Linked DNA regions of Mytilus edulis. The protein of the gene in region 2 interacts with the protein of the main gene of each other region in a pairwise test. Links are inferred from orthologs where the notes say so. Each region holds a gene or a part of one and is shown on either strand. Other genes may lie near its edges.

The links.
Region 1: the proteins of serine/threonine-protein kinase LATS1-like (region 2) and merlin-like interact in binary tests that used the Drosophila melanogaster proteins (3 or more experiments, as listed by UniProt). The link is inferred for Mytilus edulis from reciprocal best matches to the Drosophila melanogaster genes wts and Mer.

The regions. Positions count from the first base shown.
Region 1 is NC_092349.1:5,676,222-5,692,706, reverse strand, and holds the start of merlin-like, read left to right. Parts: upstream 1-10,045; 5' UTR 10,046-10,224; coding exon 10,225-10,332; intron 10,333-12,534; coding exon 12,535-12,663; intron 12,664-16,485. Other genes in the region: replication protein A 70 kDa DNA-binding subunit-like, read right to left, coding at 3,922-4,002, 4,882-4,988, 5,580-5,688, 6,607-6,688, 7,370-7,417, 9,882-9,914. UniProt on the Drosophila melanogaster protein: Regulator of the Hippo/SWH (Sav/Wts/Hpo) signaling pathway, a signaling pathway that plays a pivotal role in organ size control and tumor suppression by restricting proliferation and promoting apoptosis.
Region 2 is NC_092353.1:65,158,306-65,175,053, forward strand, and holds the start of serine/threonine-protein kinase LATS1-like, read left to right. Parts: upstream 1-9,937; 5' UTR 9,938-10,252; exon of another isoform or gene 10,253-10,426; intron 10,427-13,224; 5' UTR 13,225-13,499; coding exon 13,500-13,832; intron 13,833-16,748. UniProt on the Drosophila melanogaster protein: Negative regulator of Yorkie (Yki) in the Hippo/SWH (Sav/Wts/Hpo) signaling pathway that plays a pivotal role in organ size control and tumor suppression by restricting proliferation and promoting apoptosis.

The DNA.
Region 1 (16,485 bases), on a different chromosome or scaffold from region 2:
TGTATGCTTGGGCTTTTAAGAGAAATGTATAAGTCCAAGATTGTGTTACAAATTAGATCTTCTGAAAATAAAATACATTTTATTAATGATTATTTATGAGGAAATGTCAATTTATTTTTACTGGACCGGGAGGAAAGAGGGGAGACAGTTGTAAAATAAATTGAAAATTGTTCTCGAAAATAAGAGAAATACGACGTTCGACATTACACATATATTTGTACCTATTCATTAAAACACAGATCAGAAGTTTCACTTGGTAGTCGATCTTTATCTGTATTGTATTATAAACAAATACAAATTCTTACTGTTCAAATCAACATGTACATGTATTTTACACCAAAGCTTTTGCAAAGAGACATTACACACAGGTGTCCATATTTACCGTGACACCCTCTGGTGAGTTTACATAGATCATGTGGACGCTGGTATTAATTAACTGCCAGTTAAAGAGTGGTTAATTTCTGCTCTAGATGAGAAGATACAGAAGCAATAAAATCATATTATATTTTTTTGTGTGACATGAACTGATTTCCACAGCAACTAGATAGAAGTAGAAACCAAACATTGTCCGACATAAACCGCCTGACAAAAGTTTATGTTAACTTTTTTTTTGACTTTTTTTCTTTCTCCTTTTGTCTATTTCCTCTATCCATTAAACGTTAAAAAGGCATCACAGTATAATTGTTCCAGACAGTATGAGTTTTTGGACTGTACGCGTACAATGTGGACCGTATGCATACTTTTTGAAAATACTCATACGCTCGGACCGTGTCAAGTTTTTTCTTTTCTGCCGTCTCTATCTTGTTTGTTTTCTCCTTCTTTCCTTCATTGTACGTTTATGTAGGATTGTATTGTATTATGGAAATGGGGAATGTGTCTGACTAAAATTAAGAAATTAGTCAAGTTTATTAGTTACAAATGCGTATAACAGATCAGCATAACTTAACTCTCAAATTAATATAAAAAAGTTCAATTGTAATTGAAATAAAAACTGTACATTTTAACTATTCAAAAAAGTCACGCTAATTAAATATGTCAATCTCTTGTATTTAGCATGTCGATCAGTAATACATTAATTGAATTATGAAGATTTCGGAAGTAAACACAATGTAGGAGGACATTTTTTTTTAATATTTAGCAACTTTACAAAAAAAATGCAAATTCAAAGGAACATGCATGATCTGCAAACATGTAAATGTTAAAAAAAATATTAATAAAATTGAGAATGGAAATGGGGAATGTGTCAAAGAGACAACAACACAACCATAGAAAAAACAACAGCAGAAGGTCACCAATGTAGCGAGAAATTCCGAAATTACGTTACTTGTGGTAGCAAGTGTCACTGTAGGCGAGAGTACCAAACTAGGATTCGGAACAATAATACAAATAATATCAATTTGTAAAACTAAAAATAAAGATTGTGATAAGGTTTGTTTAAATTTAACCCATATGATCAGCTCGTACTGGACCGTACGCGTATACTCATACGGTCCGACCGTACGATTATACGCATACGGTCCAAATACTGTGGATCATAATCACATTTGATTTATTTACGCTTGGTAACTGAACATAAACTTCACTGATTATTGTAACATGATTGAAGAATATACGTGAATGGTGTGAGAATGCAAAATACATTCTGAGGTGACGAAAGTTTATTTAACAGCAATACACACGTCGGTTTTGGTTGAAAAATAAAACAATATGTGCATAGTAAAAAAATACAGGCCATCGATTTATGCTTGACTACATGACACACAATTGCATACTTATTTAACATTTATTGTAGGCCCGTCTTTCTGGAAACTTTTAATTTTTAGTCCATTTTCTCTATTAATTGGTACTTTTCCTTTATACATAAAGTTGTTGGACTATTATTCTTTGCAGTTAGTGTTTGATAAGCATTATGTTATAATCGCATTCTGAGGAATGACTAAGTTCTATCTTTCTTTTCGGAAGTGACGAAGACTGAAGTTTTTAACGGCTAGACACCTTTTACGCTGTCGGTTTTGTTAATTGAAAGTGTGTATTGTATAGTCTATCGTTCACACCTCCACATCAAATTGATCCAATTAGAAATAAGCAATAATAGTATATATTGTTACACGGACCAATCAAATGTGGGTGTAGGTGGGGCATGTTTTTTTTTTGGGGGGGGGGGGGGTTTTATATATTAAAACAAATACCGGGAATGTCGCATTACGTTTAAAACCTTTTTCACAAACAATTAAGTAATATAAACAGTTTCTGTTTATTTCGTGTACTTCTCTTCATGGATATTATACTCGTCTTGACCAAAGAACAGATGAATAGATTTTAACAATAGAGTTTTCCGGCAAGATTCAAGTAAATAATTATTAAAGCAAGTAATACAACGTGCATACTATGATAGTAGAACTATAGAAAGCATATACGTGTATGAAGGAGTTTGAAAAGATTTCTGTAATATTTCAGTATAAAATAGGTTTCTCGTGTAGACTTCTTTGTGGAAATCATAGAGTTTAAAATATTTATATTTCTCACGATTTCCATTCTCAATTTTTTATGTCTGTAAACTGTGAGCCTCTGACATAAAATTTGATAAATTGACATCTCGGCTTCTAATAACCAATTAGGGAAAAGAAAGCATGTAATATATTAACTTTATTTGATTGCATCTGATTGAAGATGTTTTCCTAGGAAAATACACTAACTAATTATTCATTCACATGAACATCTCCGTATTATATTCGGTAATACTTTTGAATATTGTACGCTACATATACATGCATTCTAATCTAAACAGAATAAAATAATGTTAGTCAAATAAAGACAAGTCTGCTCTGTTCTATCATAAAACGATACTGTTAGTCAACGTAAACAATTTCAAATTAAAAAATCAAACAATTGTAAAACAAGAAAATAACAGGCATGTGATTTATTGCAATATTTAGGTTATTCGGTCTATATAATTCACTCAAATCTGATGTTTGAATCCGAATTATGAAATGTTAAAAAACACTTTCATAAAAAAAATCGCGTGCCTGTTAAATGCGCACATACCTATATGTGTACCTAAAGCAACAGAAAAAAAATTGTTAATAATGATACTAAGTCTTTCAATTGAATATCTTTATATTAAACGTATGATTAAATGTACGACTTCAGCAATATGAATCCTTTCAATAATGTTAATTTATATAAATCAATTAACTATTTCAACATTCCTTCATTATACAACTTTTTTTTATTACACTGTCATTGAAATTGACAAATAGCCGCTCCTACTAATTAAGGTGGTTTCCTTTGATGTGAATTAAACTCAGGTAGGTCTGCTTTTGAAAACAACTCATAAGCTTTGGACGATGTTTACTTGTGGTAATTAAGAATATAAAGAACAAATGTGACTTTTTCAATTCTTTTGAGCGGTTAATTTTAAATCTTAAATATTAAAATTTGCATTCATGATAATTGTATTAATTTGAAAGAAATACCACATATAAACATTACTTATATAGTTATTGTAATAACTTTAACAACGTTAACGTTCACGATATCGATCACGAGATTTAACTTCTTATAATTAATTAAACGGACGTCTGTTAAAGGGCCGTCGTTATCTGATGGTATCAGAGGGATTAAAAGGTAAAGGTCAAATCTGCCGAGCGGAAAGACGATTTTAACTGCAGACGGCAAAAATAACTGATTGACAGCAACTTTGAAATACGACAGCTATTTTGAATGTAGAATGTCTATAAAATCGATCTAGTCAATAATAATAGCTGTTGACAGGCATCATAGGCAGTAAGCGGGCTTGATAGCTCTTTGGTTTTTCTAGTGTTCTTCCACCATAATTGTTCAGTAATATAAACATTTTTTTTACATTTCATAATAGATGTCAGATGGTCCAGTACAATGTTAACATGTTTAATAGCTTACCATTTGATGTATTTGATGGTTGTTCTTTTTTAACAGGGGACTGTGCTTGTGCTACAGGCTGTCCATTGGGTTGTGCTGCATCTACAATACATTAATATAATTTAATTTTGGATGTAAAGCGTCTTCCGATTGCCTGACATTAAAATTGAAAATGTAAATGGGGAATGTGTCAAAGAGACAACAACCCGACCATAGAAAAAACAACAGCAGAAGGTCACCAACAGGTCTTCAATGTAGAAATTCCCGCACCCAGAGGCGTCCTTCAGCTGGCCCCTAAACAAATATATACTAGTTCAGTGATAATGAACGCCATACTAATTTCCAAATTGTACACAAGAAACTAAAATTTAAGTAATACAAGACTAACAAAGGCCAGAGGCTCCTGACTTGGTATTGTTTAGTTTATCAGCTCATAGACATAATTTTGTCATGTGACATTGATGGCATCAACATTTTTTCATGATTTACTCAGGTTTAAAATGGAATTAAGAATTAAATTATAATGACTGTAATATTTTTTTTGTCTATTCGAAATATCATAAAAAATGTGGTGCACACTTTAAAAATTCAGTGTGCACCACATTTTTGATTTTATTTCTTCAGACAAATTTTTTTTTTACAGTCATTTCTTAAATAAATATAAATAATAAGATATTGGTTATGAGTCAATGTTACATCAAACCAAAAACACTACTGTTAACTTTGATGAAAGCAATATATACAATAAAGAATGGGAGCAGGGAATTTATCAGAGACAACAACCCAACCAGAGAGCAGAAAACATCCCAAGGCAACCAATGGATGACCTTTTTAGTATGTATCAATATAAGATCAGTAGCAATTAACTGCTGGACCATACCCTAGAAAAATCAAAGACATCATCAATACAGGTATTAGCTTGTTTTGTCATCTCCTGGTTCTTAAAATATTGTAATGTTTTTTTCTGAACTCAAATCTTACTTTCATTTCTTGCCTCACCAGGTTTAAACTGCTGAGGGTTTCCTAGCCTCACTCCTACATCACTACCTTTGGCTAAAACATTAAGATCTAGGAGTATCAAAACACGTCTACAAAATAAAGAACAATATCTTATCACAAGCGATTACATAAGACCAGTATCTACTTTTTCATCTGGTCATTGCTCACTCCAGCCAAACAAAAAATAAGTGTATTTAGCAGAACTCAAAAAATGATTTTTCTGGTCTGTTGAGTCGGGAAATCCAAAAACAACTATTTTGACTTAACACATTTGAAGTTAAACCAATGTTCCATGATTTGACCAATAACCTAACACCAAAAGAATGTAATACAATGACTTTTTCTGTTTTTATAAAACAGTAAAACCTGCAAAAATGTTAAATAGTAGAATTGTGCTATTAAACACCTAAAATTTAGCAACTTTTGTTGCAACTTTTGTTACAATATATGTGTCAATGTTCCAATGAAATTACCTAACAGCTATATAGGCCAATATTCTACTATCTAAGGTAAAGACTGAACATTTGGCATTAAAATTTAATCTTCACCATATACTTTTGCAGTAACATATAAAATATTTCAAAATGAGAGTTTAAATTATTGCGTTTACAACTTTGTTGCATTTTTCACAATAAAAAACCTCGAATTTATTTCTGAATTTACAGTATTCAAAATAATACCTGTCTCCCTGGATTGTATTACATAAATATTTGTCAACTTGTACCACTGCTAAATTATCCATCTCCCCCGACTCCATTAAGTTGTTCAGTTGTGTGGCCAACATGGCATCTAAAATGATTACATGTCTTGGTATTAAAATATTGCCTGTATTCACATGTGTGTAATGTATATATGTATACATGAATGTATAATGTGTGTTGGCAAAGGTGTAAAAATTTTTAACTTGTGTCATTTTTGTCCTAATTCAAGAATTTACAGACTGCTGATTTTTTAGATTTTCTTTTTTATTGGTTTTACTGGTTTCTGGTACTTCATAAGGCATTGATACCTTTCTGACCAATTATACTCTATGTACAACTAAATGGAAAACTAAACATACATGTTTTAAACCATAAACAATCTCAATTAACAGATTATTCAAAATCTTTTTTTCTCTGGTGGTCCTTCAAAAAGATCTGTTGGTCCCCACTATTATTTCTATAGTGAAATACCAAAATAAAGTTTATCCTTTGTAAGATTTTGGTGGTCAAAACTTTTAGATAATTTTTTTAAAAATCTGAATTAAATTTCAGTTTTCTATAAATACTTTAGAAAGGCCTTCTTCATCTTCCTTTTAAACGAACTTAATTTAAATGATGAAATCATGAGGCCTAAATTAATATATTGTTTGTTTCCCCATTCCCGACCCTGCCGAGCCAGGTGTTGGTAGGTAGGTAGGAAAATAATTTTATTTTTCCAAAAAGGTTGAACAATATCGTACAATCCGGCAAGCCAGGATATTGGAAATGAAAATAATATTTGACTTAGTTTTGACAATAAAATTTTATGAGTAGCACTGTTTTTGCAGAGTCGGTCGGGATGGGGGAAACAAACAATATTTTATTTTAGGCTTGAACCTTTCAAACACTACCTTATACTTTGTACATACAACTTCTTCCAAACTAATTTTAACAAAGCCTTTTGAAATTGTACAAGATAAGAAAATAATTTTGTGATTTTACTCATATGCAATATACACATATTTACGTGAATAACTGTGAAGTCCATCTGATAGGAGGAGTCTGTATCTATCTGCACTGGATCCTGCTGCTGTTATTTTCTTTGAGCTCTGCAGAATAGAAATGTAATTGATGAGAAGAAATGAAATCAAAATTTCAAAAATATATTAAAGTATTTAATTTATGATAAGACTAAGCAGCTCCTGAAAATCTGATTTACTCATTTGTCAAAATTAGTTTTAGAGATAAAAGACCAAAATTTGTCATCATACTAATTTCATTTATATTTCAGACTTTTGTTCATCCCAAGACAAAAACACTAAAGTTAAGGAAAGTAAACCAATATTTTGATGCATCAAAATGAAGAAATCACATTACATAATGTCCTATTCACAAATACAAAATAAATTTTGTTACATTTTCTCAGCCAATTAAGGGGAGACAAGTCAGAAAATTTAATGTTAATATTTATTCTAATCTTCTTATAGAAGAAATGTATATTCATGGAAAATGTGTAATAGATTAACCTATTTGACTTCCTTTTTGTTTTCTCTGGTGGATAGTTGCATTGTATCATTGGTAATCTTACCACATCTCAATTTTTTTGTAGATTTATCTAATACCTGAATATAGAACATTTTAATACATAAGAAGAGAAGTTATCAGTTGGGTTTTTTCCCACTCCCCTTTTGTAAATAATAAGACTGAGATGAAAGGGGAATGTGTCAAAGTGACAACCCGACGAAAGAGCATAAAAAAGCCTGAGACCACTAGTGTGTCTTCATACTTACAATAATCTGCAAGACAGGTCTATCAAAATTGTTTCCACCAACTATAGCCTACAAAAAGAAAACACACAAGACTTTATAAGTTATAGCACAATAGGATTTACAATTGCACGAAGGAGCTTAAGTTTATTTTTTAAGTCATTAAGATATTCATCCAAAAGTTTTCACACTGAGGAATTTTATCCAACTTGGATTGCTTTATAGAAAACAGTAAAAAATATATTGAATGACCAAAAGGCGATAAATTTTTTTGAGACATTTATTTATCTAAGTATATAAGTTTTACAGATATTGGAGTGACTGGAGTCTATGCATCATCCATGGTATAGATGATATTGTAACAAACCTAGGGTTACTATAAACTGTTTAACCATCATTCAGGAGGAGTGGAATCGACGGCAGTGTGAAGAAACAGATTTGTAATAAACATAACAATGATATTTATTTCAACAGTTTTTTGACTTCTTCTTTCAATATAATAAACATCAAATACACATTCATCATTCAACAGATAAAGCAATAAATCGGGTGGTCAATATAAAAGGTAGTTGACGGTTCAAGAGATTGATTCAGAATGACATGTGTGTCTACAGGCTCCTATTTATGTCTTTTGGCACTTACTATGACGTTAGAGTAAACATCTAATCATCCAATCAAAAGCAACGTTTCTTACGTCTTTTGGCTAGTAACGTTTAGAAAGACAAACAGATTTCGTTATTCTTAGATAAAGAAACATTATTAAGTTGTCCTCACTTTGTCCTTCTTGTCCGAATTATGTTTAAAAGCAAATGAAACTAAAAGGACATTTCTACATAATGCTATTTTTAAACGGACAGTAAATTCCTTTCTCGGTACGGCGTATGAACTTGGGTGTAATTTACATAACCTTACGCATTAGATATAATGCTTAAATAAGATCAATGAAAACCCTGTTCTATCATAAATAAAGACAATGTTAATGAAAAGGGAGGCACAAACATAATAAATACGCAAATTATCTGCATTGACAAAGTGTTAACTTAAACAAATGATAATGTGAGATCGCAAAGTGAAAGTACAAAACGGTGTCGTGGCAGATGTAAACAAGTTGAATCTCACGACGATATTTGTCAAAATAAATCACTGTATGACGGTATAATCAAAGTATTTCATAGGTAAACATTACCAAGATATACATATAAAACTGACCCTTATCGCTTGCAAAGTACAAATAGTTTAAATCATGAGTATGAAAGTCAATGCATTTATCAGTGTTTGTGCACTCGAGAGAAGTTGACCACCCGGCAATATTCAAATAAATATATGTCATATACAATAAATAATACGTTAAATAATAACAATAATAAGTCCAGATTTGTCACAATATCAACAGGATGAGCCTATTTACTTTAGCCCCCAGCACCATCTGATAATACTAGAGGTCACTCAAAACTTTAAAAAAAAACAGTGTAAGACAACACATAGACTGTCTAAATACTTTTCAATTAAGAGCAAGTATAATATGTAGACAGATTAAAGGAAGATGTGGTATGAGTGCCTAGATACATTAATATATTGTTATGCAATGATAATTTAAAAAAAATAAATTTTGTCCTTAATATAAATGTGGATATGATGCCTGAAGTCTTATATTTTCGCAACTGCATGGAGAACACTTTTTATGCAGATGCTGATATACATTTATTATATCTTTTTTATGAAACTAAAACTGTTTCAATGGCTATGGTTATCAGGGTTTTAATGCTTAGTTTTAAATTTAAACCAAACTCCTGCTTTTTACCCCCTTGTTTTAACTACGGTACATGTATAGTACTGCTTTATTTGCTGATGTATTATGTGTAACTCTTTTAATTTTGATTAAATTAATATATTAATCTGTGAAATCTAAGTCGTTTTTTTTACATTTTTCATTTTGATATTGTTTTTGAAAAACAATGCCTTTTGATGTCTTACATTTTATAAATCTTCCGCATAAACTGTGATCCATTATAATCAGTCTTTCGAAATTGTATTCATAAATTATATTATTGTTAAAATTGAAACATTCATACTTGTTTTATTACAAAAAAATTACTTGTCTAAAATTAAAAAAAAAATAATGTGCACAACTTATTTTATCAACACAAAGTTGCGCTATTTTTTCTTCCCCGGGCGCTTTTATTTACCCGGACACATTTTAGTAGGACCCATTGGGATGAATGAAATACAGCAATTATGATAAAGAAGCTTGCATCAATTAAATCAAGGACATATATGTCACATACGACTCCACAGCACAGCTGGTGTAGGCACATGTGTATCCGACATCAAGAATGTTAAATCTGACTTAAACCTAAAGTACACATCTCACCTAACGGTTAACTCTAACCATAAAGAGAAGGGACTCCCTCATCGGCGGACATCGCTTATAAGATCTATATTAAATTATACATTGTAACTGAAAGAAGGACATGATAACATAAAGTTTAAACAGGGATTGTTGAATGGTTATTCGCCTCTTCAAAATTTGATTAACCTCAATAGCACCCGATGTTAGATCTGGTGCCATTCTGTGTTGTTTTTCTGTGAAAGTGCTGTGACTGCTTTCTGCTTTATTTGCTGATGATTGCTTATTCCCGCTAAATATATAGCTTACTACGCATGCGTCAATTGTACCTCTTTTTCCGGTTTTTTAAATGCAATCATCTAAGCGCTTTACAAGAACGGTATTAGCAGTGGCTTGTAAAGCATTTCAAACTTAAATGAAAAATGAAAACATTGAATAAATGTGAAAGATGAAGATGAAAGGGATCGGTTATTCGTTTTATGAGCACCATGTAAAAGTGTTAGATTAGTCGATAGACTTATTAAACGCCGCAATGCCTTTTGTTAATATGAAAAAGGCTGCTCAGGCCTCAGGTAGCTCAAAAAGTTTTGCTGTGAAAGTGACAACAATGGATGCAGAACTTGATTTCACGACTGTGGAGGTGAATATTTCGAGCATTACTGTGTGTTATTGATTGATAAATCGTCTCTGACATGATATTTTGTAAAACTACTAAATTAGTTAAGTAATAGGAAACACATATATATCACACTGAAGTCAAATCACACATAATTTTATTTAAAAATTAGTCATTTCGTACCCAGATAGATGTTATCTGGTGTGTTCGTTCACCTGTAGAGTCTTTCACCTTCTTTCAGTTTCTGCGATCTCTGAGGCAGAGTTGTCTCCGTAGTTATTACTGAAAATTACTACTAGTCAACAATGAGGTTGTGAGTTGAACCCGGCTGGTACGGGTGTACTTATTCCAATCTTAATGGACTAGGATTGTCAGTTTTCCAATTGAAAGTCAGCGGGTTTTTCCAGGCACCTCAGCTTCTTCATCCAATAAAAACTTGCCACCACAAAATAGCTCAAAAGCTGTGTTTAAAAGTGGAGTGGTGTTAAAACATCAAGAGTTAAATCTTTCAGTTTCTAGCAATCCTTCAATTATTGAATAGTGTGTTGCCATGAGTTCGTTCTCTCTACTTTTATTGTCGAGCCTTCGACTTAAGTCGAAAAAGCGAGACTAAGCGATCATACATTCCGTCGTCGTCGGCGTCGTCCACAAATATTCACTCTGTGGTTAAAGTTTTTGAAATTTTAATAACTTTCTTAAAATATCCTCGGTTGGTACCAAACTTGGACAGAAGCTTGTTTATGATCATAAGATAGTATCCAGAAGTAGATTTTGTAAAAATAAAATTCCATTTTTTCCGTATTTTACTTATAAATGGACTTAGTTTTTCTACAGGAAAATATTACATTCACTCTGTGGTTAAGGTTTTTAAATTTTTTTTAATAACTTTCTTGAACTATCCTCGGTTGGTACCAAACTTGGACAGAAGCTTGTTTATGATCATAAGATAGTATCCAGAAGTAAATTTTGTAAAAAAAATAAATCCATTTTTCCGAATTTAAATTTTAAATGGACTTAGATTTTCTGCCAGGAAACAACACATTCACTCTGTGGTTTTTAAAATTTTAATAACTTTCTTATACTCTTTTGGATTTGTACCAAACTTGGACAGAAGCTTGTTTATGATCAAAAGCTAGTATCAGGAATGAAATTTTGTAAATGACTAAATCTATATTTTCATATTTTACTTTTAAATGGACTTAGATTTGCTGCCAGGAAACAACACATTCACTCTGTGGTTAAACTTTTTAAAATTTTAATAACTTTCTTATACATGTACTATTTTGGATTTGTTCTTAACTTGGACAGACAGAAACTTGTTTATGATCAAAAGCTAGTATCTAGAAGGAAATTTTGTTTTCTTCCAGTTAACATTACATTCAGTCTGCAGTTAAAGATTTTAAACATTTATAAGATTCATAAACTATCCTGGATTTTTACAAAACTTGGACAGAAGCTTCTTACAATCAAAAGATAGTATCAACAGGAATATTTCATTGATTTATTTCCTCATTTTTGTTGAGCCTGAGATTAACAGAAAGAGTAGGCAAGACACTGGGTTCCGCGGAACCCTTACAAATTTTTTTAATATATTTATACTAATGGCATTCAAGTTTAAGAAACTTATTCAGATATTGGTGTGGTATAAATTCTTGAAATTCACTTAAACATGTAAACACATGGACATATTGAAGCATTGATTGTTCAATGACATGCTAATAATTCTGACCCGTTCTTGTAATACTTGTCATTGCCTTTTTGGTGGATTTATAATTAAAAAGATGTTTTAAAAAATATGTCACCTGTTTTTCTATTAATACATATTAAACTTAAAATATCTACAATTTCAAGATAAAATATCTTGATTTGTTACTTCTCTATATATTTGAAGGCCCCCTTGAAGGTTTTGTAGGAGTAAATGAGCCATTTTGAACATAAAACCCACTTCGACATTTTGAAAAGTTGGCTGATATGCTTAGCAAATGAGTTGGGAAATATATATGCATACTTTAAGAAGTTTAGTAGTGGCCTCAGGATCATCAACGTTCAAAAAAGTAAAATCAATAATAAATAGGAAACAAAGATTCTTCTTTATTTCAGAATTAAAAAAAACAAACAAGCATTGACAAAATATGAAAAAAAGATACCTTAAAGTAATATAAAATAAACTTTTAATCAATGTGTAAGTACATACTAGACATACATTAAGTTTTATTCTATTTTTAGCACAAGGCTACAGGCAAAGATTTATTTGAACTGGTGTGTAGAACAATTGGTCTGAGAGAAACATGGTACTTTGGTCTGCAGTATGTTGACACGAAAGGATATATAGCATGGCTCAAATTTGATAAAAAGGTATTTTAATTAGGGCCCTGCGGAATGGCGAATGCCCTATAGTGATCATTCTGTACGTCGGTCTGTCCATAACAAATTGTGTCCACTCTATGTCTAGACAACTGTTATGATTTCAAAGTTTATACTTGACATGTATATTATACAACACCAGAGGGTGTGTCATAATTTATGTACAACTTCGTAGGTCAAAGATCATCATCAAGGTCAAAATCATCGGTTTCAGTTGACAACCCCATGTTTAATGATAAAGATACACATTTTTTACCACACATTATTCACAGCGGGCCCACAGAGATGGCTTCCATCTCAATGATATCTAGTTTGTTTTTTTCAAATTTTATGCTCTGTATCATCAAGCTAATTTACTCAATACAAAAATTTGACCAACAAGATATATTTTTAACTGAAACAATCAGCCACCTGGTATTCACTCTATCACTATTAGAATAGCAGTATATTGTGTATTGACACAAAAACATTAACATGATGAAAAGATGAACATCATGAAGATTATAGACAAGAAGTGCAGAAGTTAAATATTATTTTCATGTACATGTAACTACGATTAATTAGAACAGCCATATTATCATTTACTGTGTTCTAGCTGCAACATCTAGTTTGTGCTGCAATGAAGCTAGATTACTTTAAATTCAGAAATTCTTGCACCCATTTATTATTGCAACTTTTGAAAAGTGAACAAAAATGTAAGTTTAATTATTGCAATTTTAGGAAACGCTGCTTACAGATATATATATCTGATATCAGAATACAAGTAACTTCTAATTATTGCAGTATTAAATCAACTAGTAATGACATTATTTGCATTGATAAAAAACTTTGGCAAAAAATTCTGAATTTACAGTATATTTCTAGATAAATGTACATGTGACAGTGTTCTCCCCAGGATTTTTGGATAGCGCTGTGGTAAGCGCGTAATTTTCGACAATTCTCAGTAACTTTATTGCGGCGCGCGTTTTGTTTGTAATTGATTTGATGTGTTTTTATTATATTATGCTATTGATGTTTTCTCTTGTAATGATGTCCTCATCATGCTCATGATAGTTACAATGTACCCCTTTGTTTGTTAATGTTTTTGTCTGGATACACATGATATAGAAGAAGAGTCTTTTTTTTCCTCCATTGTAAATTCATATATTAAATCCTCATACTATCAGTGTATAAAACTGAAGGAGAAGTCTTTTTCCATGATGGGTTTACACCAGACTACCTATGTGAAGATTTCTTAGCACTAACAGGTAATGTTGCAGAACATGTAGGACCAACAATAAAGTCCTTGTCAGCTTCTGTTTGGTTTTGTAACCCACTGTAGCAGTGTACAGTTTACCGTCTTTACCTTACGACGTTTGACAGGAATTGACATTTTTTTAGCATAAAGATTTCTCATTTGTCTGACCTTAAAGTTTTATAATATTTAAATGGCCTCATCCAAGCTGAACATCGAGAAAGTGAAATTTCTCAAGTCGTATCAGCTTGGGGTTTGTTTTTCTAATCATATCCTCTCAATTGTTTTCAAATGGTAGAATTTCTGACTAAACAATTATAAGTTTGAATAGGTGATAATTAATACTTCAAAGACTTGCTCATTTTCGGGGTTCGTATGGATAGTAAACTCGGCAAATAATTTGTAACAAACCCCGGTGTTTGATCGTTTTTAGTGGAAGAAGACGTCAAGTCTTCTGAAGACTTAAGGGGCCGACCATTGGCTTTGAGTCTCCGTATGCCGCATTCATTTCGTGTATTACAATATCAAAACAACTTAGATTCCTGACACCGATTTTTACACATGATTGGGCATCTGAATCATTTAATTTGTAAATTATGATTGTAAAACAATCACTATCGTAAATATGACCCTTTTATTTATGTAAATTATTAGATTTCATCTCATCCACATGAACGTAATTTGTTTACTTGTAACAGGATGTTTTTACTGTAGATATTTGTATTACGCATGCGTGAATTTGGTATCGGTACAACTCGCCCTGTTTACAAGTTCGCCCTTGAAGTTACGAATTTGCAATCCTGCAGACAAGAAGATTTTATTTTTATATAAATAAAAAGGATATATAAAGTGTTATCTTTATTCATGGGTTTCCTTTGTCATGTGAATTAGATGCCCTTCGTAACATACATGTGAACCTCCCATTTAGGAGAAAAAACTCCCGTGTATGAAATTTTTCAGACGCCATATTTGATCATTTCTTACTACTGTACGGGTGTAATTGACACCTGTGTTAAATTTTACCTGAACATCAAAGAAGATGTATAATTATATGGCTTCACTTGACAGCTTGGGTGTCAAACATACTGGTAATCAACGATGTTTACCTCCGGCTAACTGCCGTTGTGTTATCAAAACGATGTGTATTGGGAATATTGAAATACTTTTTTGTTACTTCCCTTTGTTTTATCCTGTTTTCAGTTATTTTGCTTTTAAAAATGTAAATGGTAAAAAGACTATAAATGATTAATATTTTAATCAAATAATCATAAAAGGATGTTGATTAAATGAATTTAAATGATTTTGGACAAATAAAAAAATTAAAATTTATAAATTATTTTATTAATTTAGACCTCCTTTCAAGGATTAAATTGAAGTTGATATATTAAATTTGTTTATAACTGGTTAGAAGGCAACATACAATATGTGCAACTAGGCTAATAGTCTAGCTTCTGCTAGCTTCATGTATAATTTTTCTACCGATTTACTATATAACTAGAATTATGCAAACAGACTTAAGGAAAGGGCATGTAAGTCATGTAAGTTCATACAAATATGACACTTTTTCTAGACAATCCAGATCTTGCAAAATACATCGCTAAAAATTGTAACCTTTAATTTTGTTGTTGTGCAGTAAAAACCCATATGGGAACTTTCAAAAGTTGGCAGGTATGTAACAAGTCTTACTATTTTTATGCTCCATTTATGGGCAATATGTTTTCTAGTCTGTCCATCCGTCCTGCTTCTGGTTATAAAGTTTATGGTCGAGGTAGTTTTTGATGAAGTTGAAATCCAATCAACTTGAAACTTAGTACACATGTGTTCCTCTTGATATGATCTTCTTAATTACTGCCAAATTAAAGATTTTACCTAATTTTCATAGTCAACTGAACATAGTAAATGGTTGTACGGATGGGAAATCCATGTACTTATGACCTTTTCTTGTTTGAAGAAAAAAAATACATTTTAACGATAATGGAACAAAGCAGCCTGGGTAAGTGGGGCTGCTTTTATGGTAATTCAAGTTACCTTTTATTCACCTTCTTCCACTTCAGAGCTATCAGCTCTTTGATTAAAATCATCGTTTGTTTAAAGTTGGTAAAACAAGTTTGTGAGTGTCGTCGGGAAATGCGGTCAATTCATTTCATCTCATTTCATTCATATATGCCTCTATATAATCTTTTAATTGAAAAAATAGATGTCAATGTCGAAATCTTTGTTTATTTTGATCTTTCAAAGACGCATTTTTGTATTAGACTGGTCCCGCGGAGTTACTTTAATACAACGGAAATAATTCATTCAAAAATCGTATACCAGTCAATCACGTGATCCGAAGAGTAAAATAAGCGGGAAATTTGAAAAAATGCGAAAAAAAATATAGCGACGCAGTTGAGTGGGATAGCGCTGCGGTAAGTGCAATAGGACAGCGGGAAATTGAAATAGCGCTGAAAATCGCGGCGCTAAAACGGCCTGGGGAGAACACTGTACAGTGAAAGCAAAGATTTTATCAATAAAAAAATTTAAACATAAATTGTTGAAAGTAATAAACCTAAGAAATAAGTGGTTTCAGTAGGCCAAAT
Region 2 (16,748 bases):
TTGTTCAACGTCACATGTGATAGTTTCAACCAATCAAATGTTGATTTCACTAATCAACATGCAGTGGAATAATAAGAAATGATGCATCATTTGAAATAATTATGACATTCTGAATAATATGACTGCCTTTGAGATACAAGTATTTATACAGTAAAATGTTAACCCATGGATGGTGAAAATGAGACACAAGATATGAATACAAATAAGAAATATGGAATATATGTGCTAATCAGATAGGTACAGGGAACCAATGACAGACAAAAGAAATTTCTGTGGTCGTATAAAAACCAACTACATGTTTTTAAAGCAGTCGCTGAACCATGAAAATTAGGCAAGACATATATGGAAACTTTGTAACATAAGACATCATCATACAAAGTATGAAGCTATTCTATCTTCAAAATTTAAAAATATAAATCTTCATACAAATATCTTACAACAGTGCTTATAGTAATCTTTTTGCCACATAGTAATCTTATCCCTACATAGAGTAACATAGTAATCTTATCAATACATAGAGTAACATAGTAATCTTATCGTCACATAGTAATCTTATTGCCACATAGTAATCTTATAGCCTCATAGTAATCTTATCGCCACAAAGTAATCTTAAAGTTTGACCTTCTACAACTTTAATTGCATGTTAGACAAAAATCGGTTATTAATATTTTCAAAACATTTAACAGGAGAAAGACCTTGACCTGTTCAGACTGCTGATGTTAGTGTTAGTTTTGCTCCAATTACTTCAGTTTGTATTTTATCCCCTTTGTTTTGTTTAAGCAACAGTGACCATATATGTTGCAAGAGCAAATCACAAGACAAAATGTTAAGCTAGATACCTTTAGAAGCACACAGGAAAAGTTTTGTAACATTATGCCTGGAAATGTAAGGAAGTGTTTCTTTAAACAGATGATGACAACAGACGACAGACAGTTAAAGGACGGATGGTCACAGACAGTAAGTGCCTTCAAAGGCTCAATTTGTCTGTTTATGTAAGATAAAGTGTACACTTTTCAACAGCAATTAGGCTATTTTAATCACCTTGAGTTTCTTTTTTCTCACCTTGAACTCCAGCTTTATCTATAAAGTTATTGAGGTTAAAAGTACAGTTATTGGAGGCCAAATACTGTGTGAATCTCTGAAATAAAATAAAATATAATTGTATTTATTGTCATAGTGTCACTGTGCCCACAGGATACACCTATTCCGATCAATCGTACACAGATCCTACACACCAAAACATTACTCTCATACATGTAAAAGAAAATTGACAAAAGTTATGACAATTGATTGTTATAATCATAATTAAGTAAAATGTGAAATTGAGTTAGTATTTTACTAAATATAAGAAACTGCTTCAAGTCTCAATTGCTGACCATGCTATAATATGCCAATTTCACATTAATTTTCACCTTTTCTAATTTCAATATAAATTTCCATTCAATTATTGTTTGTCTATGTACAGTGTCTTGCTATTTATTGTAATGTAAAAATAAAATTGACCTTCATTTAGTCGCAGGAAACAACATATCAATATCACTGAATATATACAATAAGAAAAAAATATCATTTAAGCCTTTTTGTGTTTATAAATGGACATTGATTGCAGTACATCCCCAAATTAATTTTTCTTCTTAGAAAATCTGGTCAAAAACCCATCTTTGTTACGTAAACATGGTAAGAGGATCCTTCTTCATCATAGATCCTTATCAAGTTATACAATTACCATATCTAAGTTATTTGTGATACATACCTCATTGCCATAATTCATTAAATTCTGTATCGTAATTAAGGACTTAAACACTATTGTCCAGTTTGTATGTTGTGTTCTTTCAATCAGTAAATCGGCTAACTGTGGAATGGAAACATTTGGCTCATTGGTGCATTGAATTAAATCTGCAAAATAAGAGCATGAAAATAGGTTACATATAACCTGGGAAAGGTAGGCATGCTGAAGAATCCATTGATATCCAAGTTTTATTTCTATTGAGAAAATATATATCCAATTTTAATTTTTCCAACTAATAGTCCATTTGCCAATTCATAACGGATTTGATTCTTTTATTACACACTTTTTTTAAACAAATTACTCCCTTTTGTTAATCATAGACTGGTTCTATACAGGACAAAATTGGCTTTTGTCAATGAAAAAACTAATGAATTGAAAGAAAGGTATCGGTTTCACTATTTTTTCACGAAAAATAATTTCTGATAACAAAAGTATTCAGCAAACAACAAATGAATGTAATCATGGTAATCAAAAGATTTGAAAACCTTAAAGATACATTGTACCATACATTACACACAGGTAAATTTGCTCTTTCTGCTAGCTCTACATTGTGAATAAAATTTATGTCACTCCTAAGGGAGGCAACTAAAAAAGGGATCTCTAAATACAGGGTCAAATACGGGAATTGGCAAATGGACTATTTGTCATATAAATCTATTTGATACTCTTTTGACATAAAACTCTGAAATTTGGTTTATGGATAATTTTCAGTCACCTTTTAGGTCATCCAATAGTGCTGCTGTAAATAATACTTTTTGTGATACTAAGACATGCATTGGCAGGAAAATTTCCTTTTGAGAAGGTTCATCTTAAATTTTGTAAAGCAGTATTGAGACTGAAAAAGACAGTCCCCAACATGTGTTCTAGATCAGAATTATGTAGAATTACTTTAGACTCTTATAAATAAAAGCAGGGTGCAGCTTTATATGACTGCAGAGGTCGAACCCTGAACAGTTGGGGCAAGTGTGGACACTACATTCAAGCTTACTACAGCTCTGAATTTGGATTACAAATTTATTGCACAATAATGTACAATTAAAGATTTCTTCTTGAACCCTTTAACAAAATTTGACCAACCCCTAACTTTTTGAATCCCCCTTGGAGCAATAACCCAAAAGTTTTGCCAAAACTGGATGATGGATCCCACCCTTTCCATTGTAGTACAATTTCAGAGAAATCCAAACACTCAAAACACAAGTCATTGTCCAGAAACTAGAAAAATGCTTGTTTTAGCCCTTTTTTGGCCCCTAATTCCTGCAGTATCCCCCAAACTCAATCCCAGCCTTCCTTTTGTGATTTGAAACTTTGTGGTACAATGTCGGAAAAATCCATACACTTACACACAAGTTATTGTACAGAAAATACAAAAATGCATGTTTTTTAAAAGCCCCTTTTTAGCCCTTCACTCATAACTGAGGGAGGTAAAGGGTTATTTTCGTGCAACGTGATCGCCGTTTTTTTATTTCACGTTCAACGTGTTTATACTTTTTTATTTGACGTTCAGTCGTGCAAGACGGGTGCCTCGTTCAACGTGTTCTGCTTATTTAATTTTACGTGCATTGTGATTTTCAAAGTCTTATTTTGCGTGCTCGGTATTTTTCAAATAAAATTCAAACACTTGACAGGGATCGTCAAGAAATACTTTCCAAAAACCGTAAACCAATTATATCATAAATTTGTATACTAAATCGGGAATATCAAGTAAAACAAAGAGTTATAGCGAACCCTATGATAGTTTTCCATAGATTCACCTGCAAGTTACCTGTCGATTTAAACTTTTGGCAGTTCTATTGTCCCATCTAACAAATACAACAGGTATTGTTCTCTGTGTAGTTTATTCACTGGGACCTTTAAATTTCTTCTAGGAGAAATATATCACTCATTGATTAATTTACCTGAACAAAAAATTGAACTGTCAATGATGAAAAAATACTTATACCAATACTAAGAAAGGACTCACAAAACTGCATGTGGTGTTGTAATTTATTCAAAACCAAAAACTTGTTTTTAATGTGTTCAATATTAATAATGATTTAAAAATTAAAAGTTGATTTCTGATCAAATATTCAATAAATATTTTTGTGTGTTTGATAAATAAAAATTTGAATATTATTATTTTTAAATTAAGGTCTTCATAAACATAGTCTATAAATTAACAACAACAAAAACATGCAAATTCTTTGGAAAATACTAAAAAATGTGTCTAAAATATACTTTTTATTATTAAATCAGATTTTATATTGAACAGATTGAAAATATATTAATAGTATATTGAATAAATACAATATTGCATACAGTTTATGTGAGTTTATAGAAGTATTTCAATAAAAAAACAGATAATTTTTTGGTCAGGTAAATTAATCAATGAGTGATATATTTCTCCTAGAAGAAATTTAAAGGTCTTGGTGAATGAACTATACAGAGAACAATACCTGTTGTATTTGTTAGATGGGACAATAGAACTTACAAAAGTTTAAATCGACAGGTAACTTGCAGGTGAATCTATGGAAAACTATCATAGGGTTCGCTATAATATATACAAGAAGACAGTGATTCAGTCACAAAAGGTTCACATATTATTAAAAGTATTTATTTTTAGTGCAACGTTCATTAAAGAAATTATTTCACGTTCAACTTTTTTTTCGTGCAAGTACCCCCCCCTTTACCACCCTCGTAACTTGTTGGCCCCAAAATAAATCCAATACTTCAACTTGTGGTAATAAACATTGTGGTACAATTTCAGAGCAATTGAAATACTTACACACAAGTTAATATCCTGAAAGTTAAAAAAAAATGCTTGCCCCTTTTCAATGGCTTTTGGGCCCCTATTTCCTAAACGGTAGAGACCATCTTCAGCAAAATCAATCCCAAACTACCTTAAACTTTAAAGGCTATTGAACCTTCTTATTAAATTTCACAGAGATCCATTCATGTAAAGTTAAGTTATTGTCCGAATACCAAATGTGCTTTCGGATGACGCAGACAACAACGAAGACACAGACGACGAAAAAATTTTTTGCGATCGTATAAAAATCTCAGACACTCATGTATTTTTAAAGAATAAACTCTTAATCAATGATATTAATCCAATGTTCAAAGAATCTCTTCCATGATATGAACAAACATTTATTTACATTCCACAGGTTCTCATTTGCAGATAAAATTAAAAAAAAACCCTGATAAAATCAATATCCATCTGGTATGTTTAAGATTCATGTGGACCCTATGGCTAAAATGGTCGTATTTTCACCTCAAAATTTACTCTGAGTACAGACAAACCTGTGTATCTGTAAAAAATTTCAGGCATAGCATGCCCTAGATAAATAAATTTCAAATGTGTTTAATGTTAAAGAAAAATAAAAAATTACAAGGATATTGCTGTGCACTTTTTTCATTCCTCCAGAAGGTGCCAAAATAAACTAAGTTGGGAAACAGGTTTGAGAACTTCCCCACAGATAATAATTGAAGTGAGCTATTTTGATTGACATGGACAATAGATGGACAATAGATACCTGACAATAATTGGTTATTTAAACTGTGTACCTGAGTGGACCGTATCAAGAGAAACTTTTGACTGTTTGTTAATTTTATCATCTTCTGCAGGGACGAAAAAAAGTGCACGGCTCAATCCAGTTAAGGAACCAAGACCTTGCATTCTGGCAATTTATCTTACACACACATGAAGTTTTCCAAAACAATTGTTTTCAACATGTTCAAGGAAATTAATACAAATGGACATTTAAATTCAGCATAACAGAAATGACATCATTGACAACACATATCCAGTGAAAGTGTGTGTTTAAATGAAGGCCCGTTTCGAATAATGATCAGTTCTGGAGGATGCTAGGCTTATTATTGAAAGTAAGGGCCAATGAATCCATGCCCATGGACATGATGGTAAATGGTTTTTCAAGAGAACAAACTGCAAACATGGACCTATAGAGAATAATATCCCTACGGCAATTTATTCTGAGGAAATTGTTTAAGTTGTCCACCCTCAGAACCCAACAAGGGACTAAATTATTTATACTTTAGTTGTCATGGTAAATGTACCCTATCATCACCAGCTGCATACCAACCATCACCCCAAACTCAGGTCAAATAATAACACAATTATCCTTCCTTATTTATGCCATGTCATCATACAGTAACCGCTAATTTTGGGGTTACTTACAATCCAGATGTTTTTTCTTTGGCCCCATGACTTCTTCTGTAGTCGCTTTACATACAACCTTGGCCAACCCTTGGCCCGAGAGGCTGTGTTTAGCCGCAGTCATGCGATCTAAAATACTCTGTCCTGACATTTTGACTAACTATATGGTTAGAACACTCAGGAGTCACCAAGGGTCTTCTCTGACCCAAATGAGTGTGTTGAAATGCTCTAAATACACAAAAAGGGGTGGATACGGCGACCAATAATATTCAAGATGGCTGTTTCATTAATCAATCTCCGAAACAGAGGCGATCGGATTTTTTTGTTACACTAAGTTTACGCCGGTTTACTACAAAAATTATTAGCTTTTTTAAAAGCTCGGCAAAATGTACTGTTCTTTATAGGCACTGCTACGATTACATGAAACTGCAACAATCATAAAAAATAAATGCTCCGCAGAGCGCAGCTGGATACGACCGAAGTTCAAGCCTGAACAGTTGGGGTCGCAAAAATAGACGCAATATACAAGCTTGATATCTGACATACAAGTCTGAATTTGGATTGTAAATTAATGTGTTTGGATTACCTCCCTTACACTGCTTTTAGATCAAGACAACAGTAGTATACCGCTGTTTGAAACTCATAAATCGTCGATTGAGAAAAAAAATCCCTCTTACAACTTGAACTAAAGCTGAGGGAATATAGTTATCAAAAGTACCAGGAAACCATTAACGAGGAAACCCTTGTTTTTCCTCTCTTTTGCCCCTAATGCCTAACCAGTTTGAGCCATAATCCCCAAAGTAAGCCTAAGCATCCCTTTGTGGTATGGAAACTTGTGGTATAATTTCAGAGTGATCCATACACCGTTCCAAAAGTTGTTGTCTGGAAACTAGAAAAAAGCATATTTGTGGCCCCTTTTCAACCCCTGATTTCTATACTGTTCGGTCTTTAAATGTCACAGTATCCGATGTGATTCAATGAATCTAAATTCTTAAGAATTTTAAAATTCTCTTCTCTTGTTTTTGATTATTTTGCCAGATATTCGGAATCCTCCAGTTTCATTCATAAAACGCCATTAAAAGTTATGCTCAATTACCCACATCTTTTTTCGCAATTTTAGTGCATATATCTAAAAAAGACATATTTTCCAAACTTTTGATTTTTTTGGATTTTTTTAATGGTGCCAATATTCTATGTAGGAACAATCTAGAGAGAATCATTTCTCGCCAAATTTTCGATACCTTATATCTCGAAAAAAAAAGGTTGTTATTTTGAAACAGAGTAGTGAGCATTCTCAAGTAGATGATTAGTATTACTAGTACCAACCGTGCAAGGGCTGTATAGCCAGTCAAGGTCGTTAAAAGCTTTCATTTGTTACTAATATGATGATTCAGTCATGGGGTAATGCAAATTTGTAATTGTAATGCAAGGTAATGAATTCCCTTTCAAAGTAAAAGTATGTAATGTGTTATATTAATGCAGCAATTTTATTATATGTGAATATAGCGCAAAATTAGAGAAACAGATTCACCACAAACCTCGTGTATTATGATATTTATCCATATCAACAGTTAAATCTTAATTATCCGTTAAAAAGCTCGGCAAGTATCGCACTTTAAGGTGGTATGGGAGTCTAAATTAAAAATGATAGAATTTGTTCATGCTAAAACATAGCATTTATCGATATGTTCAAAAATATAATAAAAAGGCGGTGGCTATTTTGCCGGCTCCGGCAAAATGGCTGTTTATAAAGAATTTTGCTATTTTGCCGGTCTTAATAAAGAGTAAAATAGAAGTACATGTATAGAAATAAAGAGAAACATACACTTCAATAAGAAATTTCCATACAACTATGTCAGTCTTCTTTATACATATATAAATACAAATCGTGCATATTAAATTTGATATTCTGTACAGTCTTTTTAAAACATTTTAAAAGTAAACGCATTAAAATTGATACAAGTACTTTTTTTCTTCGATAGAAGCTATTTTAAAATAAAATCTTTAAAAAAAATATACAATACCAGAGAAATATAGAATATACGTCTCTGATAATATACATAAGAGAAGCATACGAACCCATGTAAAAAAATCGACATTCTGATACAAACTTATAAAAATATCCTTTTAGTTTTGATACAAAAAGTAACACCCAACAACTCAAACTGCTTAACGAGAGTTACAAAACCAGTGTCTTGCTTCTTGGTGGTTTTTTTTTCTAAGTCTGGCACCATAAAGGTGCTGCCACTTCAAACATGAAGTTAACATAATACTTCAACGATTTTTTTGCGTCAGCATCACTTATGCAAAATTTGCTCGGTTATACATTTCAGTATTCAAAATTCATAGAATAAATGCTGTTTGAATAGCTAGATTTCTATGCATTGTGTGTACAATATTTGTGTGTTTATTTTATAATACTTTATTGCACCATAGACAATACATTAATTATTATTAAAGTTTTGTCTGGTTTTCATGAATTTTATAGTCGATGTTTCACGTTTCAAAGTACTCCAAAACCGGCTTAAACTCTTCATATCAATTTGAAAATCAAGTTTGTTTGATAACAAATTTTCCATTTTCGAACGTTCAATGTTCAACAGAAATTAACGTATGTATAAAAAAAAACCGGAAAATTTGGTAGGATTTCCAATCAGACAACTCACCGCAAGAGACCAAATGACACGGAAATTAACTACTATACGTCACGTACGGCCTTCAACAATGACAAAAGCCGCTTAATCAGGCGTCTATAAAAATAACATGTATACATCTCACAAAAACACAGTACATGTAATTAAATGAGTGCAGTTCACCAAAATTGATTATGACTAGGAAGGCAAGGCGAACAAAAAGTTTATTAATTGACATTTAGCCACATATAAATTTTGTACATGAATAGTTTCCCTTAAAAATATATTTCATATAGTCTTGCCATGATTAAAAATCTGAAATAAGACCGGTAATTTAGTGGTTGTCTTTTGTTTATGTGTTGCATATTTGTTTTTCGTTCATTTTTTATATAAATAATGCCGTTAGTTTTCTCGTTTGAACTGTTTTACATTGTCATATCGGGGCCTTTTATAGCTGACTATGCGGCATGGACTTTGCTTATTGTTGAAGGCCGTACGGTGACCTATAGTTGTTAATGTCTGTGTCATTTTGGTCTCTTGTGACCAGTTGTCTCATTGGCTATCATACTTCATCTTATTTTTTATAAAATAGAAAAACTCTATATTATAAATCGCTAGCTATTTCGACGGCACCGGCAAATAGCATCTTAAAGTCACCGTACATTTTCTCAAGCTACAGGATGTGACAAATGGCAAATTTTGTATGGATTATACAGGAAAAAAACACCCGATTATGTGATTAGAAGCTAAACTAAGAATTGTAAATAAAATACGAGATATTTTTAAGAAAATGCATCGAGAATATCAAAAGAGAAGATAGGGTCACCGTGTGTATTTTTAAGCTAAATTACAAAATAACTAAATTCCACAGTAAAGATTTCCTCAGAAAATGCACCATTGTAGAGTTATCTCCCCTTTAAAATGCCTATTTCAAATCATTAAAAATCTAGCAAAAAATAATCTACACTTTCAAAATTATTAATATTAATAATCTTATAAATGTGTTCTTTCAAATGCAAATTCACATAAGTTATCGGCATTCTTGCATTAAATTTTGCTAATTTGTTTGAAAATCTGGACCTTAGATTTTTGTTTTTTTTCCAATCCAAGTTGTCGAAAGACACCCATATCAGTTACATACCGGCCGGGAGTAATTCATACCTAAGAAGAAGATCCCGGCGGGCACATTTTTATACAACCAGATAAAAACATATATTAACTCCCTTTCAATGAACGGGATGCCGAAAAGAGAGAGAAATGCACAGTGCCCCCGTGGAAATGCTATTCGCAACACGATTTACACACATAACACACGTGGTTAATTTTTGTACGAAAGTCACGTGAAAATAATGGAATGTCAACAATGCTGTAAAAAGGGCGTACCTCTGTCAATCAAATAGCTTGATGGAAAAGTCCATAAATGAAATATCAGAAGGTAGAGCGGCATGAATTTTATCAATTGGAGATTACTTGCTCCTAAGATAAATAATTTATTACTTATATTTCTTACAGTTCAAAATATCATATGTTCTGCTAAAATATAAATTTACTCGTCCATAGTTAATTTTAAGAATAAAGATGTAGGTCAAACAACCTGCTACGGAATTTGTGTTTCTTAGACTCGTCCATTTTGGATAGTGGCCGTATTCAGTGCCAGATTTCGACAGAGATTCTTGGGTGAGTGTTATTTGTTTTGCTGCTTGTGTCACCAGAAACAAGTAAAATGAAAATGAAACTACACATTTTAAAAAAAGTAACGAACTTTATTTACTAGAAGTTACAAATTTTGATATGGGACTAGATGCATCCGAACAACATGGCGGATACCAAAAAGGTGTTAAAAACCAACAGGTTAAAGTATATTGTCGTTTACCTATTTTTTATCAGATAATAAAATATCAAAAACAAGAATATATGAGGAACAGTTGATTACACCACAGCAAAACGACTGATTGTATTTTGAGAAAGTTGTCCAGAAAGACTGCTTAATATTCTTCAAATATTTACATTTTTATTGACATTGTATAAATACCTATTAATTTAAGTATCATATATACTGTTTAAGTACAATGTACCATGCAGTAACAAACAGGCACATTACATATTTTGTTATTTTTATCATGCAGTGTTCCCAAACATTTGGTTATTATCAAGCAGTTAAGTTGCCAATTTTCATCAGCTGGTACATGTATTTTATGCAATTATTTTCTATTGATGAGGGGGCCTCGTTTGCCAAAGTCGAAGTCGTAGTCGTACTACTGCAATCACTAGCCAGTCAACACTAAGGTTGTGAGTTCGACCCCACTTGTGCGGGTGTACTCTACTCCAATCTTAATTGACTAGGATTGTCAGTTTTCCTATCGAAGGTCAGTGGTTTTCACCAGACACTCCGGCTTCTTCCACCAATAAAATCTGGCTGCCATGAAATAGCCTAAATGTGGTGCTTAATAGTGGTGTTTAACACCAAAAATCAAATCAAATCTATAGTTGAGTATTAATATATTTATATATAGTGGATTTGGGTATCTTGTTATTTCAACTTATTAATCCCTTTTCACTTTGCTCATGTTGCTGGTGCAAGTGTTGCTTTGTAATGGCATTAGCCTGCTCTTTTTATCAGATCTATAAGTAACAAGGGTGTACATGTCTTATACATGCAAGAGATATATTGGTCTTTCTTACTTATTGATGAATATTCAGTTTTTAGTTGAATATTAAGAAGATGTGGTAAGAGTGCCAATGAGACAACTTTCCATCCAAGTCACATTTTGTAGAAGTAAATCATTAATGGTCAAAGTACAGTCTTCAACACAAAACCTTGGCTCACACCAAACAGTAAGCTATAAATTCCCCAAAATGACTAGTGTACAATGGTGTACATGTTGTACATCATGTACATGTTAAACCTTTCAAATTGGTAAACCAACGGTCTAACCTACATGTATATGGTTCTAACCTATATGAGAAACGAGAAACACTTATGAACCACATCAACAAATGACAACCACTGAACATCAGGTCATGATCAGTATAACAATCATAAAATTGAGAATGGAAATGGGGAATGTGCCAAAGAGACAATCGTATACATGTACCAGAAAATATTTACCTCATATTATGTTTTTAAAGTCTATTCCATACATAAGAATAACAAGAGCATGTACATATTTGTATATGAAAGTGGCTCACTACCACATCGTTGCTGAATGCAAGCTTTATTATATATGCCATCATTCATAAATACCATATGAGAATAAAGAGATGTTGTATGAATGCCAATGAGAAAATGGCCCTTAAAGAAATGACTATCTCACTTAGCAGTACCTGAAAGGGCTGGTCAGTGACTTGAAGAGGCGACCTCTTTAGTGTCTAGGTGACCAGATTTTATAGAAAACTAAGCATGTGGGAGATTACATTTCAATTCTTCTAAAAGTCATGTTTTAATCATCAGAATATAAAAATCCTTGTTGTCTTCTCCTGTGGACAGACTTGGTTAACTTGGCCCAGGACTTTTCTGACTGTAAATTAGACTTCTAGGATCATTATCTTCCTATTATGCCCCAGTTTATTCTGGGTAGATTTGTCAAGTACTCTACCAAAAGTATTTGTAATAACCGTTACATTAGGTCATGATGAACACACAGGACAATGATCATGATGATAACAAAATTGATGAATAAAATATAGCAGGGGTCATAATAAGGCACAGCTAGAATAAATAAAACCAGGACTTAGGATGACTATTCGGGTGACCAGGATTACTGCTTAGAGCAGATCTGTGTTTTCTGAGCAATATAAATAAATATTTTGACTTGCACAGAATCATTCAGTAGTTCTGAAATTTTAATGGTACAAAACATATATCAAGACCGGGCAGCCAAAATAAAAATATAAAAATAAGTATAAAATTAAAGCAGTAACTTAATCAGTGTTGTATTCTCATTAAGGGTAGCAGTAAAATATTGAATTGATTACTAAATAAGAAATCAGGACAGCCCTTTATTTAAACCATGAAGGAATCAGAAACAAAACCACTATTGACATTTTCTCTAATATATCATGCTAGCAGTACTGCACAATTTGCACACCCTTTCTTGTAGTTTGATTTTATTTTAGCACCAATAGAAATAAAAAATCTGTCTTATGTTTAGAGCAATTATAAAATTGTTTTTGTCAATATTTCTTATTTGAAAAGGTGAACAATGATTTAAATGGCATAAATTGTATACAAGTAATGCATATTTTTGTATCAATACCTTAAACAATGTTATTACAGTAAATAAAACAAAATGTGTTTTGCTATATTTTATGAAAAAGATCAAGAATATTTTTTGATTTTATAGGTTTGCTCAAGTCTGCATACAAGCCTATATAGAAAGTTTATACTTGTCGAATATTTATATTCATGGTTTATCTTACTTACTAAATTTTCCAAGAATATTGGTATCCACGGACCACCAAATACTTATGAATCCATAGTATCTCGAAAAATATATTGAGTACAACAATGTACAAGAAGGTAGAAACTATTTATTTCAAGTATCTACCTGTTATATCAATGTTTGAAATGTGAGCAATTTAGGCTCTTGCATTGGGAGCCTCTTGATAAGTTATTTTTTAAACAATTTTCATTTGATTTTTACTTTCAGGTTCTTTAAATGTTGAAAATATAATAATTGGAGTATATGTGGATCTTTCAACATGTCTATGGTTTTGTTGGATAATACTTAGTAACAAAGTGCAAATTATGTGAACACTTTTAATTCAAAGCATTATAATGAGAAGTGATAGAAATATAATGGATTTATAAATATGGAAAATTGGACAAACTTAACTAAGTAACATGCTACAAAACTTGAGTCCTTCAAAAAACAAATTTGATAAGCTATTGAAAGCTAATTATATTGTGAACAAGAGATGAGATATGATACGTAATTCTACCAGTGGAAATGATAATGATGATCCAGAACGTGGTGGACGTCGACCGCTTGTCATTGATAATCAGGGTCGGCAAATGCTCAATGACATTAAAAATGCCTTAAGTCACCATCTTAAAACAAGTAAACCTGAAGGAGAAATGTCACCAAACATTATTAAGCCTATATCAGCACCAGGAAAAAGCCGGAAAGCCTACAACAAGCAAGCCATGGAAGCTATTCACAACAGTTTGAGACCATTCCAGCATGGTAAAGATGAAAAAAATGGCCATAGTAGTGCAACATCTACTCAAGGAAGTGATGAAAGTGAAAAAAATGATGTGAGTTTTTGTTACATATACAAATGTATATCATGTATATATACATGTGTAGCTACAAAATTGGAATTAATAATTTCGGATCATTATTCTCCCACATGCAATATGTTGCGGGGGACATGGAATATTTGGGTTTCAGTCTGCTAATGCTGTCTATTCAGTCATCTTAGCGCTCTAGATCTGTAAAGTGTACAATTTATGCCAGATTTTTATGAATCTTATATCACAAGTTTATATCAGCAGTGCCAATCAATTATTATACGACCGCAAAAATTGAAAATTTTTTGGTCATATGTTGGTATCATGTTGGCGTCGTCGTCTGTGTCGTCGTTGTCGTCCAAAGACTTTTGGTTTTTGCACTATAACTTTAGTATAAGTCAAAAGAAATCTATGAAATTTAAACACAAGGTTTATGACCACAAAAGAAAGGTTGTGATTGCTTTTGGGAGTTTTGGTCCCAACAGTTTAGGAATTGGGGGCCAAAAAGGGCCCAAATAAGCATTTTCTTGGTTTTCGCACTATAACTTTAGTTTAAGTACATAGTAATCTATGAAATTTTGACACAAGGTTTATAACCTCAAGAGAAAGGTTGGGATTGATTTTGGAAGTTTTGGTCTCATCAGTTAAGGAATAAGGGGCCAAAAAAGGGCCCAAATACGCATTATTCTTGGTTTTTGCACAATAACTTTAGAATAAAAGTAAATAGAAATCAATGAAATTTAAACACAAGGTTTATGACCACTAAACATTGCTAAAGGAAGGTTGGGATTGATTTTGGGAGTTGAGGTCCCAACAGTTTAGGAATTAGGGGCCAAAAATGGCCAAATAAGCATTTTTCTTGGTTTTCGCACCATAACATTAGTATAAGTAAAATAGAAATCTATGAAATTTAAACACAAGGTTTATAACCATAAAAGGAAGGTTGGGATTGATTATGGGAGTTTTGGTCCCAACGAATTACTGGCCAATAGGGCCAAAATTAAACTTTGTTTGATTTCATAAAAAATTGAACTATTGGGGTTCTTTGATACATGTATATGTTACAGGGAATTTGTAAAATCAGGGATTTTGTAAAATCACTGGGCTAATCAGTGATTTTGTAAAATCACTAACAGTTTCAGTGGTTTTGTAAAATCCCTAAAATTGTTAGGGATTTCACAAAATCACTGAAAATAGAGCTAGGGATTTTGTAAAATCCCTGATTTCAATTAAGTATAACTTGCTATTAGAAATGTTTTTTTCTTAATATAAAAATAGACTAATGATCACTAATGATTTTTAAATATCATGCGCGTAGCTACGTTTACGTCAAAACGCCCGGGCGTACACTTGAATTTGGCAAAAAAAAATATTTTCATCTAAATATTAGTAAAAGAATTGGTTAACAGTAACCTTGTAGGTCTTTCTTCAATGGCTTGCAATTTCGAATAAAAATGACAAAATTGGTGTTATATTTATATATTTGTTTATTTTCTGTCAAAGTCTAAATCTACCGTGAATTCTATACTCGCTTTCCTTTGTTAAAGCAATTCCTTGTGTACTTAAAGTCGAAATGTGGTATGCATTTGTTTTTGATTATAACCGTGTAGATGTACAATGTAGGTTCAGTATGTGGGTAAAGTTTTAAGATATCAATAACTTTGTCAAACCTTCGTATGATTTTACGATAGCTGGACAAAAACTGTTTATGGTCAAAGGAGTTACCAGCACATCATGACGAAATTATATATGATGAATTTTCCCGTAATTAATGGATTTTTAAAAGGAATTTCTTGAAGTATTTACATTCTGAGGTTAAAATTTGGTACATATAAATTACTTTGTAAAAACCGTGGTCGAGGTTAATGAAACTTTCTTGGAGGAAAACGCGTATGGCGCAAGAATAAACTTTTAGCGGGGATAAATTGCAGTCGAGAACCAGGGTTCCATAGAGAGACCTTTACTAATTTTAATATTGCACCTGAACAACTCAGAAAAATAAGCATTTCATGTTCATTTACGATTCTAAATAAACAATGAATAGATTAAACATAAAAAATAACCATTTTGAATCTAAAGAATGTTGTTACTGATATGAGTTTTCAATGACAGGAATGGTATGTCATTCTCGATAACTGTTAAACTTCCGGAGGCTTCGCACCCGCTCATCTCCTACCAGCTGGTTTATTGGCCTGGACCCAATAGGGCCTCTTGGCCCCTCACCGATGTTCGGGCGTACACGTAAAAATGACCTTGCTACGCTACTGAATATATTTGTTTATTAAACCTATGAGCTAGAACTAGTGTATAATGATAATGACTAAAAGACATGTAAAAGGATATTTAGACCAGTGTGAATTTACTTATTTTCGCATGGCAAGTTTGGGTGACATCCACTGTTACATAATTGCCCTGCTTTTCGATGTATAGTTCCTTTTAAAGTTTGCACACTTTCTGTTTGCGCATTTTTAATGCCATTTCATCCCTACCATCATGACCTATTGATATGTGAATTTTCTGAACTATGCTGTGCGTGTCTTCAAGACATACATAATATTTTTAAAACATCTTCATCTGATAAATACCGCTTTTAACATTTTTTTTTTTAGATATTTGCCACTAAATCATATACCCTAACCCACTCAATTTCTTATACCTTACGTTGTACATGCATGTTTTTCTTCTCTAATGACAGCAATCACTGTGACCTACATGTAATGTTCCGTTTAAAAAAAAATGATATTATTTGTTTTATTTTATACAGTATTTACAGAAAAACTATAATAAACAGTAACTTTTTTTCAAACAAGGTAGTGATAAGAGCTTGTTTTGTCTTCTTTCTGTGGCTCATTGATAACATGTTCAAAAATTTCATCATATTTTCCCCGGTTCCATGTGTTGCACTTTAGTTTTCTGTCAATTATTTGAAGTAACTTTTGT